2 linked regions of the Alligator mississippiensis genome follow. The protein of the gene in region 2 purifies or fractionates together with the protein of the main gene of each other region. This does not show direct contact. Links are inferred from orthologs where the notes say so. Each region holds a gene or a part of one and is shown on either strand. Other genes may lie near its edges.

Region 1 (7,488 bases), on a different chromosome or scaffold from region 2:
AAGCATGCTTCCCTTACGGTCCAGGTCTGACCATCAGGCCCATGAGTAGTGAAATGCTTCCCAAACTCTAGCCACAGAAAGGCGTGTGTCTTAAAAATGAATGCCACTGGCACATGGACCAGCTCTTTCAGGAATATTCCAGTTGTCCCAAAAGAAAGAGCTCAGCACCTGATACACACTAATAAAGAAATGAATCTACCCTAACGTGGGAAATGTTATCCTGGTTCTAGTTTTCCAACAACAACTAAGGACATACAGTATAGTTGTTTCAAGGCAGGTATTTCCAGATTTCTACTTTCAGGGTCACTGTCTCAGGGCAACAACTAGTGTAGCCATGGCCACAGCCAGGACAAGAGGAGAAGCAACAAGAAACTGGAGCTTCATTTTGCAAAGAGACTGTTTGTTAGTTAGAAACGATCCCTTACCCCACAGCCCATACACTTTTCACACTACCTAGTAGTAACAATCTTTTCCTTCTTCATGAATTTCCTAAGTTTTCTTCCTTCTCTCCCTCCCTAAGGCCCAAGTGCAAGGTGTCAGAAATCACAGATGAATAAGAAGTCATCCTCAAAAGTGACAGAAAGCTCCTAAGGAACCCACTAAACACTTGCTGTAGAAAGAAAAAGTTCATGCTAGTGTCTGATGGCAGCTACAAATATTACACCTAGCCGTATACTCATTTAGTTAACTCTTCCCTCAGAAAACCACAGGCAGAGCTTGCTGAAAAGCAAGGGTGCCTGTAAGCAGTACCTTTTCCAGAGTTGTCCCTTGACTAAAAGAAAAGCTGGAAAGTCACAGAGAGGGGGGAAGAAAGGGGAGCAGTCGTTTTCTTTTAAAGAGAAAACTGTCACTATTAAAACCTCATATTAAAATTTAATAGCCTGGGCGATAGATCATGAGCATGACACCTCTCCAAGCTCAATTTATGTTTCTAACAGCACTTGAAATGAGGCACCAGGAATTCGCCTGTAGTGCCAACTCCAGTCCCAGAAAGACCGCCACTGTTTGTGTAGAGACACCAATAAAACTTTAGTATTTCCATTTGCAGTTACCTCTATGAAGTATCCGTGGGCGTTTCTGGCCTCAAATCAAGCATCTTGCACATGGAACTGTACTGGGCATGTTAACTGGATTATTTCCACGTTTACAGGGCTGTACACATTAATTTTACTGTTCACTGCAAGTGTCTATAATACAGTCACTTCAGAGCATATTACTGTAATTATTTTGGGGGGGGGGGGTTAAATATCCAGGTATTTGGGGTTTCCATTCTTGGAGAAAGGAATTCTTTTCTCATCACCGCACCAGACTATCGTTTCAATACTGCTCGGCAGTCCGGCACGCAGCCTTCGCAATGCTGGGGAAAGTTCAGACCCTTGAACGTTTACAAGAGAAAAGTCCATCTGTCTTTCGAGTGGCTGCACTGCGTACTCTTCCTAACCGAGGGCACCAGCCATGGAGGAACATCCCTCCCACCCAAACACACACACCAGTATCTCTTGGGACCCAGTCAGAGGCCAAGAGGGCTTCACCGAAGCCAGGCTTGCCCAAATTCAACCCAGCGAACCACGACTACTCTAACCGGTGCAAGTGGAAAGAAGAGATGAACGGCACGAGTCACCCGCTGTCCAGCCTGTCGGCCAACACACCGCAACGCAAACCAAACACGCCCTTCAGCTCTTGATGCCGCTTTAATATTTTTGGACAGATCCATCCCGGACACAACAATATCCCATAACAAACCCTGCAAAGAATCCCAACTCTCATCACTTCATTTTTATAAAGAGGGGTCTTTCTGGAAACGCGCATATCAGCACTTATCTGAATGCACACATATGAAAGAAAGAGAAAACCAAACGCCAGAGAAACTATTCAGCATGCGCAGTAATACTCCCCTCAATAGACACACCCAGATCCTCCAACAGGAAATACAAATCTCTCCCTGTGTATTTATTAACATCTCTCCTCCAAAACAAGAGCCGACCGTAGCGCGCACACGTTACCCCGATGAAAAGCATTCGGCATAATCCACGCAACCGAACGCATCGCTCTTTCAGCACCTATTTATAACGAGGGACGAACACGACCCCGGGTTACCAGGGCGGTGGGGTTTAAAACAAAACCCAGCGCTGTATTTCTCATACCGGCAAGTCCACGCTGACGTCGGTGCCGTCCAGCAAGGACACTCGGCACGTGATGACGGACCTCGCGTCTCCCGCCGCGGGGATGTGGGTGGCAGCCCTCTGGGCCTCCCTCAGCCGCTCCTTCTCGACGTGCTTGCGGATGGACCGGCGTCCCAGGGTGCGCCGAAAGAAACTCAGCATCTTTGCTGCCGGGAAGGGAGAAGAAAGCGCGACGGTTAACGTTTCCGTGAACAAAAATCAATCGATAATACGAAATCTAGTGACCAAACCCAAGCATGTACCTGCGTGGCTGGCGTAGGTACACAGGTCTGCAGGAAATCATCACGTTGTATCGTATCTCTTATAATGTTATAATATACACACACACACACACATATATAATGAGATAATTATACACACACATATATATATAATAATACAGATATGCATATTATATACATATCAGTGCGCGATCTGGATTTTAAGCGACCGGTTGGGATCCAACTGGGTCGGGACGCACCTGCTCACCGCGCCCGTTTGGCAGCGTTTGCGGCGCGGCCGAAACGGAACGCGACGCGCGCACGTCTCGTGTCCTGTCGGGACGGACGGACGGACCCGCCTCAGGGCCGCGGGAGCATCTTCCCAGGTGTATGCAGAGCGTGCACACACACCGGCGGGCACACACACGGGGCCCACTCACCTGCGGGCGGCGGCGCGGAGGCCCCGGCGACGGATCGTGAGGCTGAGGCGGCGGCAACGACGGGGGGGAGGGGCCTCAGCGGCCAAGATGGCGGCCCCTCACACCCCAGCCCCGCGCTTAAAGGGGTTGGTGCGGAGCGGCCCGCGTCAGGCCGTGAGGGTCGGGGGGAAGGAATCCCGCCGAGGCCGCGCGCCTTTAAGTGGGGCCGCACTGCTGCGCCCGTTGCTGTTAAAGGGGCAGGGGTCGCCGCGGAGGGAGGTGGCTGCGCTGTGCCGACCTGAGCCGCCTTAAAGGGGCGGGGCCCCGCGCTGGGGGGGGGGGGGGGCACAGGGCGTGCACGGAGCGACGGCAGCTGCGGGCGGACCGGGACTCGCACTCACTCTCACGTGTGTGCGCAAAAGTGTGTCATACATTATAGATACTATACATACATAGTGTATATATTTTTTCCTGATGGTAAACGAGATGTATACACACATACTAGTACAGGTGTAGGTCATATAACCTGCTATGATATCTTACACCCCCCCCCCTATATATGCACACACACACATACATGCACATGCACACTATGTAAGATATCATAATATATACCCTATAATATGTATCCATACACACACACACACACACACACACACACACACACACACACACAGGGTTAGAAAATAAAATATTTCCTATTTTAATATAGGACAGTGAGATATATATAAAATTAAACTTTGTTAAAAGATTATAGTACACCTCCCCCCCATTAAATGTGATTTTATACATGTGAGGTGCACCATTATGAAGGCAGGTGGGTTCATTGCAATTACCGCCCTCCTTCCCCCTTTTAAATTAAAAAAAAAAAAATCTCCTCCCCGCCTTGCCCACGCAAAGTCTCGCTCGCCCAGCCAGTCCCAGGCAGGAGCTGGCGATTCCCACCTGCCCCTACCAGGGCTGCACACAACGAGATAATGACAGCCCCAGCAAGGTGGGGACAAACCAGCTCCCAGTGCACGGAGGCTTTTAATTAAGCCCTCTGCAGTAACGAGCCCGGACATGGCCCTGTCTGCACTCCGGTGAATTCCTGTCTGCAAACAACCAATGCCTGTAAATCCACAAAACCTTGAGAGAGGAGAGCAAGACAGCGATTATACACACATAATGCATGTACAAGCAGATGCGCACACACACGCTGTCCTTATGTATATGCACACACAAGTGTATGTATTTGTGTGCATATGTGCACGCACAAATTGGTTAGTCTATAAAAGGTGCAAATCTACCTTGCCTTCTACCTGCCCTCGGATGAATGTGGCTAACCACCTCCCTGGGATGCCCCACGGGAGCCAACACTAGCAGGCCGATGCAGGCCGGGGGTGTCTTTGCCGGAGGGCTGTGCAATACCGCTCTCCTCTCCGTTATGCCTCGGCGGGAGTCCAGCGCGTGGTTCTGGGCTCTGTGGTTTACAAAGGATGTAGAGAAACTGGAGAGGTCCCCTGAGAAAAGTCTGAGAGAACAAGGTGCATTTAGTTTGGAGGAGGAGGAGATTCAGGAGAGCAGGGTTCACATCCTGGCAAAGCTGCCACAGAGAAGGGGACCAGCTCTTCTCCTCTCCCAGAGAGGACAGGACACAAAGCAACAGGTCCAAACTGCAGGGAGGCAGATTTAGCTTCAAGCTCAGAAAAAGCATCTGGGGTGTCAGAGCAGCGGGGCCGTGGTCGACTCTTCTCCGCCGGAGGTTTCCAAAAGGCTGGACAGGCACCTGTCAGGGATGGTTTAGGAAGAGTATCTGTGCAGGGACCAGGATTAAATCAGTGGGAACTGATCTTTTTTGGCAGGGGTGCTACAAATTAGCCATGTCCTCTCTCCAAGTGCCATGCCGATTCCCTTCCTCTGCCTGTTTCTCTGCGCTCCCTGACCTATCTCCTCCTCTGCTTTCTGCCCTATCTGCTGCATGCCACACACAGGCTGCACATGCCACTTGTGGCAATTGTGCCACAGGCTGGCCACCTCTGCACGATATCCTTCCGACCCTAAGATTTCTGCTGCTCCAACCCCTCTGATTAGATGAGCTACAAAGCATAAAAGGTGTTTTCTCCTCTCCATTAGGCCAGACCATGGTGGATAACATGATATCTGCAAAGTCAGGACACAGACTGGACTCAGGGCACAGACATCCTGGTCTGGGCACAGTTGCTATCAACTGCTTCTTGCTCTGGTTTCTCAAATGCCATTTTGCTTACAACCACTGAAGAGAAACAATTTAGGGCTGCCCATAAGACTTTGTTTCCAGTTGCCAAGCATAAGCTGGTTCTTTTTCCCTGACAGGTTCACAAACCTAGCTCAGATTTGTCCAGCTAGGCTTGTATTTGGCATTTTCGGATAGTCTTGTGATCTCCAAAACAATCTTTGCTGCGAAGGGCAAGATATTCTGGTAGATGCACAGCTCTCTTTCCTGTGCTGTGCAAATACAGGCACTTCCCAGATGCAGAAACCATACTTTTGCATACACTGGGCTGCTACTGAAAGGTATTTCCTTCTCCGGCTCTTTGGTATTACCAACCCCAGCATCCACACGGCTAAGCCCCCTCAATCCTCCAGAACCAGCATGTGGACAACCCCCAACTCTTCTCCTCTCCAACAGACCGGACTTCTGCTTTTGCAGAGTGGAGGAGGGAGCTGCCAGCCCCCACATTATCGTGTGACCATTTAAAGTTTGAAATAAATGTAAATACAGGCCTGTCTGCCGCTTTGGAGCATGGCCTCTATCTCCCTGGGGCAGGGAGGAATTATTTCATCTCCCTCCAACCCTGTCACTTAGCCCTAACCCTGTCTCCTGGCCTTTGTCCTCATCCCCCAGCTTGCATTTTTTGGAAAACAGGAGGGCAAGACGCTGCAGTGGTAGAAACAAAGGAGCTTTCCTTCCCTCCGTGCTCTTGTCGCAGACCTCATCTCCCACCCAACCCCTCAGGGCCCTAAATCTCTCACCCTTTCCTTCAGATTCCCATTTCCTTGGCCCATTTCAGTCCTGTTTCCCCTTTCTGTCCCTGCCCCTCATGCTTCCCTGCAACCCTCTCTGTTCCCCTCTTTCTGTGGTCCTTGGCATGATGTCTGAGCCCCAACCCCATTTTTTGCAGTATCTCTTCTCTCAGCCAGGTGCTGATTTTGCTTAAAAGCTCATGACCTTAGAACAAAATGAAGCAGGAAGCTAAATGGGGGAAAGCAGGAAAAAGGGTATATTTACTTAGAAATATAGCTGAGTTAGTTAGAGTATGGTGTTAACAACATAGAGGTTGCAGGTTCAATCCCAGGATGGGCTAGATGATTGCTTGAAGTCCAATCCAGCCTTATTTCTCTATGAAATGAGCACTGCCCTTGGCTAAAATGTAACACCATTGCAAATAAACTTGCATGCAGCTTAGGCAGAGCCACCACTTCCCCCACAGACATTTTATGATGGCTCAGCACCCTTCTTTTTTATTTGTGAGGCATAGCTCCCATTCACCTTGAAAGCAAACACATGACTACTCCTGAGGAATTAAACTAACATCCCATGAAATAATATTCATATCTACAGAGAAATAAGGATAGGAACCATGTAGTGAAGCAGATAGCTGTTTAGAAAGAGGCTTTCAGGCTAAGTCATCCTGCCTTTGACTCATTTGTATTGCCAAAGAAGAAGCACAGGGTGCTACCGGGCTTTGGTTTGCAAGATGAATGCAAATTAATTTTCTCTATTTGGGCCCTTCATAGAGAGACTGATACCCTAGCGATCCTTCATGGAGGGATAGGGAAGCCCCTGAAGAAAAACCTGGAGAAATACAAGCTCATTAGGGTTTAAAATCTTATTCCCACAGGTGGGTTACCAGTTGGATCCAGAGCTGGTTTGCTCCTGCCTTTCATTGGGGGCAGAGTGGACCTGTGTGGCAGTGTTGATTGAGCAGCAGAGCAGATGCAGTGTGTAAAACTACTGCTGTACCATACCTCCTTTACTGCAGAGAATTCAGGGGTATATTCATATGAAAAGGACCAAGTAAATCCTATCCTACAAACAAGCTGGTAACCAAAGAGATTCCCAGGTTACTGGTTCTCAGTCAGTTCATTACTACTTGCCAGTGCAGGGAGACCCCAGGTCCCCCCATGCACCAACGAGTTGTCAGAGCAGTGCTCGCAGGTCCAGCCAGGCTGATAATCAACCGATTGTCACCTGGAGCATGGGACCCTGCCAGGGACTCCAATCAGCTGTGGTGTGGTCTGGGCTGACAATCAGCCGATTGTCAAGGCCTGGACAAACACAATCGATTGTTGGCCCCAACCCTGGACAGGACTGGGGTCTGTCTGGAGACGACAATGAAATGTGTTAGGTCTTGCTGGGATAGCCCTGTGGGACTCTCAGCCCTGCCAACAATCAGCTGATTGTCAAAACCCCTGCGCTCGGCAGCTCTGGCTGTGCTCTGGGAGGGGGATCAGAGGCTCCCAGTTGGGGCAGGGGTGGGGAAGCCAAAGGGTTCCCACCACTGGGGACATTAAACTTTGCTGGGAGCCTTGTCCCTGACATCTGGCAGCCGAAAAAGAGCTGTTTAAGGTCCGCGGTGGGGACGCTGTGCCTCAGCACCCTGAAGAGCTCCCTGGGCACTGGGACAGAGGGTGCAGGGCACAGGTAGCTGGGAGCTCCCTGCT
Region 2 (7,460 bases):
TGAGTAGAGGGAAATTTTCAGACGGGGAAGGGCAGCAAGAAGTCAAAGGGATACGTCTTCCTAAATTCCTTCAGCACTTTGGAATTCCCCCGACAACACATTTTATCTGTTAAGTCTCTGACCTTTGCAAAGGAAATAGGGCAATAAAAGAGAAAGGAAAAAGGCTACTAATTTAAACAACCTCTTTTGATTTCTCATAGCAAGAGAGCCAAGCCTTCTGCCTATACTGAAGAGAGGAAAAAAAGGTGCCATGAGAAAATGGATACTGCTATTTTCTACTCAAGGACCCTGATAATGAATCCTAAATTCGAAGCTTCATGCTTTAGGTGCCAAAAATTGATTTAAGAGCTTAACTCCAGTCATTTTTAAAAGAATTTTCGTGTGAAAAGGAACGATTGCCTGATGGACCACAAGTCCAAGAAGGGTTGAAAAATAAATGCAGAAATACTGTGCATAGTACTAATAGCCTTCTATATTTCATATTGTGTGCCTTAACTGTTCACGTGCCTGGTGATGACAGACCCTAAATTTAGCTCAGACCATTAGCATTTTATGATCCTACCGATTTCTACTAGAATTACAAATGCACTGATTGCTTCAGAAGTCCAGGGAGGATTCTACAGAGGGAGGTCAAAGACTGTGCAGAGAGCGCGCGCATGCTTGCACTTAGCCCCACAGAGCAGAATACAACCTCTCTGCTGCCAGGACAGCACAGGCCTTCTGTTTTGTTCTGCGTGACGCCCATTCATCACAGACCCCTTTGTATTATGATACAGTGCCCTCTCTCTCCCTCTCTTTTGTCTCCCCTGTATTATCAGTCACTGTGTGTAACAATCCCACCACTAGGCTAACTTTGGGAAGTGGGAGCAGTGGAAAAGCAGGCCTCAAATCCTTCCAGCAATGCCTTGCAGCTCTTCAAAGAGGGGTAAAGGGGTTGAACTTTACACAGGCCTGACTGCCAGCAAGGACCACTGGAGAGAAAAACAAGGGTAAATCCATGAATCCACCCTGGTCTAAAACCTTCAGCTGGTCAAGCCTAGCACAGACATCTCACACATTCCATATGAGAAGGAGATATAGGATATACGCTGTACCGGCTTCTACCGAGAGTGGAGAAACTCCTTTATGACCTCTTCACAGTTTAATTCACCTTCACATACTAACAGTTTTCAAATCTTTGGGTGGGGAAAGAAGGGGAGGCTCATTTTCAACCAAAAAACCCAGGCTGGCCCGGGGTGGCTGCCTCTAGACTCTGCACGGTCTGTAGTTGAGACTCAAGCAGAATCCAACACCAAGTTTGAACATGTCGAGACCTGATGTGGCTCATTTCCCCCTCCTCCCAAACACACCAGCACCAGCAGACGCGAGGAACCCGCTGCGCTTCCAAAGGAAACGAGGAATTATTTTAAGCCACGGCGACTCCAGGCCGCGCTGGCTCCCAGCAGCAGCCGTGCAAAGCAGCCCAGCAACTGGGGCACAGGGTGGCTGTGGGGCATGCCTACAGGCTCAGCTGGCTGAGGTAGGCCACCGCGGCCCCCGGGGTCCCCCCGTCCCTCGCGCACCGAGGCAGCGACCGGCTTCCAAGCAATGTGCCTTTCATTCAGACATGGCTGCAGCCAACGCGCGTGCCTGACACCCCGGGCCAGCCCAGATGCATGGGGGGGCTGCACACCTGGGGGCAAAACTTGACTTTAGCAGGAGACAAGCAGCACTGGGGGGTGCCAGTGAATTTCAGATCCGGGTGGGGCCCGGCCTGGTAACACGGGCAGACGTCACATTGCACCAGGATTGGGGCCAGGGTGGGGAGCACTATGGCGTGGGGGGGTTCTGGTTCAATACATGCATATATCATAATACATTCCCTTAATACGTGGGGATGGGGAGATTCGGGGTGCAGCCCCCACACAAATACATGCATACTACGCAAATATATACATATATGCCAATGGGCCCATTTAATAAGTAAATATGAGGGGATGGGGAGCATGGTTCAGGGTGCTGCCCCTGCACACAAATAGACACTATGCAAATATATTATATGCGCTAATGCCCCCACTTAACATGCAAATATGCAGGGATGGGGGTGGGGTTCAGGATGCAGCCACCAGAGACAAATACATAGATAGTATGGAGATACATTATATGTGCTAATACCCCCACTTAACGTGCAAATAGGAGGGGAGGGGGCTTGGGGTGCACCCTCACACATGAAGACTAAGGTGGTGTACAAATATATGACTATCCCCACTTCATATACGAATACACGGGGACGGGGGACTCAGGGCGCAGCCCCCACTGATGAGTAGGTAGATATTATGCAAATATATACAGGTATCCCCGCTTAACAGGGACAGAGGAGGGGACGGGGCGGTTTGGGGTGCAGCCCCCATACCTTAATCGGCAGGCATTAGGCAAATACATGCATGTGTGCTAATGTCCCCACTTAATAGGCACAGGCGCGGGGCCGGGCGGTCTGGGCGCGCCCCGCACGCGGCACGCAGGTGGTGTGCCACCGCACGCCAGGGTCCCGCTCGACACGCGCCCCGAGGTGCTCACGCGGCGGCCGGGCCGGGCCGGGCCGGGCCCCACCTTGGTCTCCTTGACGTGCTGCTTGACGCCCTCGGGGTACCACTGCACCCGCACGTAGCCGCGGCGCAGGGGGCTGGCTCGGCTCTCGTCCGCGCCGCCGGCCCCGGGCGCGCCCGACTCGGAGCCGCCCGAGCTGCCGGCGCCGGCGCCGGCGCCGCGGCCGCCCTCGTCCTCCTCAGAGTCCGAGTCCTCGCCGTGGATGAGCCGCACCAGGCCGAAGCGCACGGCGCCCCGGTAGCGCCCCGACACCAGGTCGTGCGAGAAGAGCAGGCGCTGCGAGCCGGCGGCGGGGGGCTCGGGCGCGGCGGTGGCGGCGGGGGGCTCGGGCTCAGGCTCGGCCGGCGCTGGAGCCGGAGCCGGGGCCGGGGCCGGCGCGGGCGCTGCGGGCTGCTCCGCCATGGCGCCGGTCTGCGTGAGCGGGGGGCGCCGCGGGCAGGAGGCGGCGGGGGCGGGGCCAGGTCGCGTCACGGCCGGGGGGGCGGGGCTGGAGGCGGGCCCCCGCCCACTGCGCGACGGCGAGACTCGCGTCAAGGCCCCACCCACCGCGGGCTGCTCGGACGCTACGTGTGCCAGACAGCGGTAGCCCCGCCCACTGCCGGGAGCCGGATGTTAGCCCGCCCCTTCGGGAGACGCGTCACGGCCCGGCGGCGAGGCCCCGCCCACCGCGGGCAGCCCGGGAGTGACGTCTCCCTGCCTGCGGTAAGCCCCGCCCGCCACCGGGAGCCGGATGTTGGCCCGCCCCTTCGGGAGACGCGTCTCTCCGAGGGGATTTGGGCAGGGCCCTGCCTTCAGTCAGTGGCAGAGGAGTGCTGCCCACCTCGCTCGTGGTGTCATAGTTGTTAGGGGCTGGAAGGGACCTTGCAGATCATCGGGTCCAGCCCCCCTGCACGTGGGCAGGACAGACCGCTGGGGTCAGATGCCCCAGCAAGGTGGGCGTCAAGACACTTTGTACCCATTGTATCTTGTCCTCTGCTGGGGGGGCCTTGGTGAATAGATGCTCCCCCAGGCCCTGATGTGCGCCCCTCATAGACTTATAGTCCCCTCTGTGTCTGGGGACACGGCTCCCCTGCTCCCGGGGAGCAGCCATCGTGCCGGAGGGCTTCTTGTGCAGGATTTTTGCTCCCCCCCCAAGGCTTGAGACTTCATTTTGCAGAGGAAAGGTGTCACCCCCTGGTTGTGGAAGGAGCCGCCCTGTGCCAGGCCCTTCCCCAGGGCAGGGGTGGCCATCTCTGTATCGCCCTGGAGTCACAGGGCTCGGAAATTGGTGCCGCATCTGGACCTAGCCAGCACTGAACGAAAAGGGAAATCGTGAATAAAACAGATGTTTTTCCTCTGCAAAATAAAGTCTCAAGACTTGGGTGGGGAGGAGCAAACATCCTGCATTAGGTGCTGGCAAGCAGGGCAGGGCTGAGCATGCGTGTGCCTGTGCCCCCCTCCCCTGCATCCTCCCAGCCCTACTGAGCAGCATCCCTTTGTGCCCTTACCCCCGTGTGCTGGTCCAGCGCCGTGCTGGGGGTCCCTGGTCATGCTTCATCAGGCCTCGCCTGACTTCCTGGTGCCCCTGCTGATGCCCAGCCTAACAGCAGCAGAAGAGGGCTCCACAACCTTCTTCCCTGTCTGATCTTCCCCCACCTGTAGCCCCACGTGCACAGCCCGTGTCTCCATGTGCTCTGCCAGCCCAGACCCTTTGCCAGCTGGCGTCTGATGCCTCAGGTGCACATTGCCCTGGAGACTGGTCTGCTGCACTAGGACCCCCCTACTCCAGCTCCCTGTGAGCTTGTGATCCTACTGCTCTAGGGTCTGCATGGCTGACTCCAGGTCTCCAGGGGGAGGTTAAGGTATTAGTTTTAATCCTTAAAGCCCTACGTGGCTGGGGAGTCTGGATCTACCTGCTAAATGGTCTATGGCTGTCCACGATCCCAGATGCACTCGAGCTGAATCCTCCTTGATATAGCTGAGGGGGAGTGCTCAGCAGCCTGATATCCATAAACTGAGAAATTTACTGTTCACCTTGGTATGAAGAGGCTTAAGTCAGCTGAGTTGGAGATAGCCTGGCACGGCTCCTTTGTTTCCTTCTGGGAAGGGAGGGAGAGGCTCCTCAAATGCTGTTTTTCATGAGCTGGGAGGGATATGGAGTAGTTTCAACTTTCACTTTAGGGGCAAGGCCATTTCTGTTGTGGGGAGAAGAGAAGGGGATGAGGAAGTTTCATTGGTGTGTAACTGTAGATTAAACATGTTTCAAGCCACCTTTCTCATCCTCAGCCCTGCTCTGAAGATGGTCTCAGAGACCCATAGACTGTACGTGAGCCCCAAGGAGTAGGAGAAGCAGAGGTATCTAGAGCTTGGACACCAGACCAGCTGCAAAACAAAGAACACCACCCGGTCTCACTCCTGAGGCAGTGCCTAATCTGCCAGGCCCATGTGTCCTAAGGGGAGCATTTCCACTGGCTGCAAAGAAGACCAAAGATACAAATAATTTCAAGCCACTCCATGGCCTAGGCCCAGAGCACCTAATATAGTGCCTCAAACTCCAGGATGAAGATGATGGTTGACAATGTCCCTCTTGGAATTTGGGTAAAACTCATGTTTACAAGAGACAGAATTTTCTTAGGGGCTGATCCTAGTGTGTTGAATGAAATCCCGTGGAAAAGGCCACAAACATTACTACCTGCTCCTCACTATGTTGCAGATCAAAGCCCATTACTTGACCTCTTCCATTTGAGTGAATGGTTGTTAGTCCCAAGGTTTCTCCCAAAGGAAAAGAAATCCAGCAATGCAATCAAGTACCAGCAAAAATACTCCCTCGTATTTCCAGGTCCCCTTGACTCTGGGGGACAAGATCCACCCATAGTCCAAAGAGTGGCTGTGTGTTTCCCAACTTTATGCCAACAAGTTGTGTTGACAGAATGCAACTGTGCATGTAAGTGTGTTTTAAAGGATTCATGTTGTACTCCAAGTCAGACTAGGGTAAATATGGAGTGACGTGATTGACTTCCCCAGCAATCTTCCAGAGTTACAACCACGTGCAGTGTCAGATCAGTGAAAAGGATATAGCAAGCCAAGGTATTACATTTCTGTTCTCAGCTGCCAGAATGGGCTGTTGGGAATCTCTAGGTAGAAGCTAGATCAATTCTTGGACTGTTCTAGCATATGCGTGGTGATAAAATGATCCCCCGTTGTCTCAAAATTAGGAAACTGCAAAGGTGATACAAAGCCATCGTTTCTTCCTCCTTTTTAGGTTTGGCAAAGCTAGAACCAAATATTAGGAGCCTAATCTCTAAGTATAAGGGAAAGGATATAGCTTTATAACACTGTTATTTTGCCTCTAAGAGCATCTCTCAACATTAATCATGGCTTCTTTTGTGATTTCACACCTGGAAACAGAGCAGTGGGTGGAAGGATTCATTGTCTTTTGGGGTAGAAAAGGATAGCATCAATCAAGAAAGAAATGTTAAGTCTCTTATATATGTCAGGTTGAGATAAAACATTCATGAATAGGGGTGAGGAGTGCTTTTAATACTATGAAGCCATTATCTGCATACCATAGAGGCCAGCGATGTGTAACAGCCACTAATTAGTTGCTCACAAGGGGAGAGGAACAGTGGGCATAAACTCAGTGATAAAACACGCTCTAGCCCGACTTGAAGTTGATGGTGCTTCATGTGCGATACTCCACTGTGATGGTGCTAGGGAAGGGGCTGAAGTGGAGGGGATTACTAATTTGTCTGCATGTCCTGGTCACCTTCTCAGCATAGCCACTTCACCTTCAAGGCAATGGCAAGGTGGTTGGCCATTGATACTGTGTCCTTTGAAACCAGGCTGATGTCACTGGAAACAGAAGCGAGTCTTTAGGGATTAAAGGATCTTTAGGATTCCGCTGGACTGGGTAATTTGGACTAGAACAAGTGGTTACGTTCTTTCCATCGTTGACAGAAAAGGATTTTATGTGGCAGCATTCTGGCAGTCCCCAGGCTTTTTCCATCTTCTCTCTGCAGCTTGTACCAACACTGCTTTTAAAAATAATTTATTCCTGGGCATAAATCATGAGTTTATTTGGAACTACCTGGTATTCAGAGTAATTCCCCTCTGTAGAACACCGTTTGGACTTCAGGTTGTACATAGCCGTATGATGCAAATGGGGAGATGAAACTGTTCACCAGAAATGCAACACAGGCGTTTTAATGGAACCCAATCAGGAGTATTTGTTTGTCAGGAACAGAGCAGGTGAGAGCTATTTTCTTCCCTATACTCCTAACTGTGGCTCTGAGGTACTCTCATATGGAAGCACACTTCACTTGTTGGTAAAGAGATCACCTTTGGTTTTAGACTCAGTAGCACAGCATCTGAGCTGCTTCTCCAGACTGACATACTGCTGCTGGCTTTCTGTCCCATGGAAGGACACAGGATAGGAGGAAGGAACAGCTTCTATTAGGTTGACCATGGTAGTAAGACTTAGGAATTTGGGGTTCAGTTCTCAAATCTACCCATGACTTGCCAAGTGAACTCAGGTGAAAAAAGAAATAGCGGCTGATTTTAATTGTGTCACATTCTAGATGCCCAAATTGTGCCAAAAATTCAGACTATCTGTGAAGCCCTGGATCTCCCAGTTTCCTCAGCTACAGTAGTGAATACTCAGCAGTTCTGAAAAGTGAAGCATGTAAAACTGTGCACCCAAAATAGACACACCTTTAAATCAGCGGTTATTTTTGGAAACACTGGCCTTCATCTCTTGGTGGATCAACAGCCCGTCCCTAGTAAAACACATCCCTGATACAAAGCAGTGGTTGCAAGACTTGATTTACTAATGTGTGTCCTCCTGGTCTATGGATAGGTGTTGTCCCTGACCCCAGTGCAGGGATGATATGTGAACT

What was found.
Region 1: the proteins of UBE2O (region 2) and EPB41L5 purify together in Homo sapiens (affinity purification with mass spectrometry; 3 studies listed by BioGRID and IntAct, counting the BioPlex papers as one, with this or other methods). This does not show direct contact. The link is inferred for Alligator mississippiensis from reciprocal best matches to the Homo sapiens genes UBE2O and EPB41L5.

The regions. Positions count from the first base shown.
Region 1 is NC_081827.1:248,597,221-248,604,708, forward strand, and holds the start of EPB41L5 (band 4.1-like protein 5), read right to left. Parts: upstream 3,009-7,488; 5' UTR 2,824-3,008; intron 2,813-2,823; exon of another isoform or gene 2,644-2,812; intron 2,330-2,643; 5' UTR 2,325-2,329; coding exon 2,145-2,324; intron 1-2,144. UniProt on the Homo sapiens protein: Plays a role in the formation and organization of tight junctions during the establishment of polarity in epithelial cells.
Region 2 is NC_081831.1:13,954,427-13,961,886, forward strand, and holds the start of UBE2O ((E3-independent) E2 ubiquitin-conjugating enzyme), read right to left. Parts: upstream 3,013-7,460; 5' UTR 2,989-3,012; coding exon 2,590-2,988; intron 1-2,589. UniProt on the Homo sapiens protein: E2/E3 hybrid ubiquitin-protein ligase that displays both E2 and E3 ligase activities and mediates monoubiquitination of target proteins. Negatively regulates TRAF6-mediated NF-kappa-B activation independently of its E2 activity.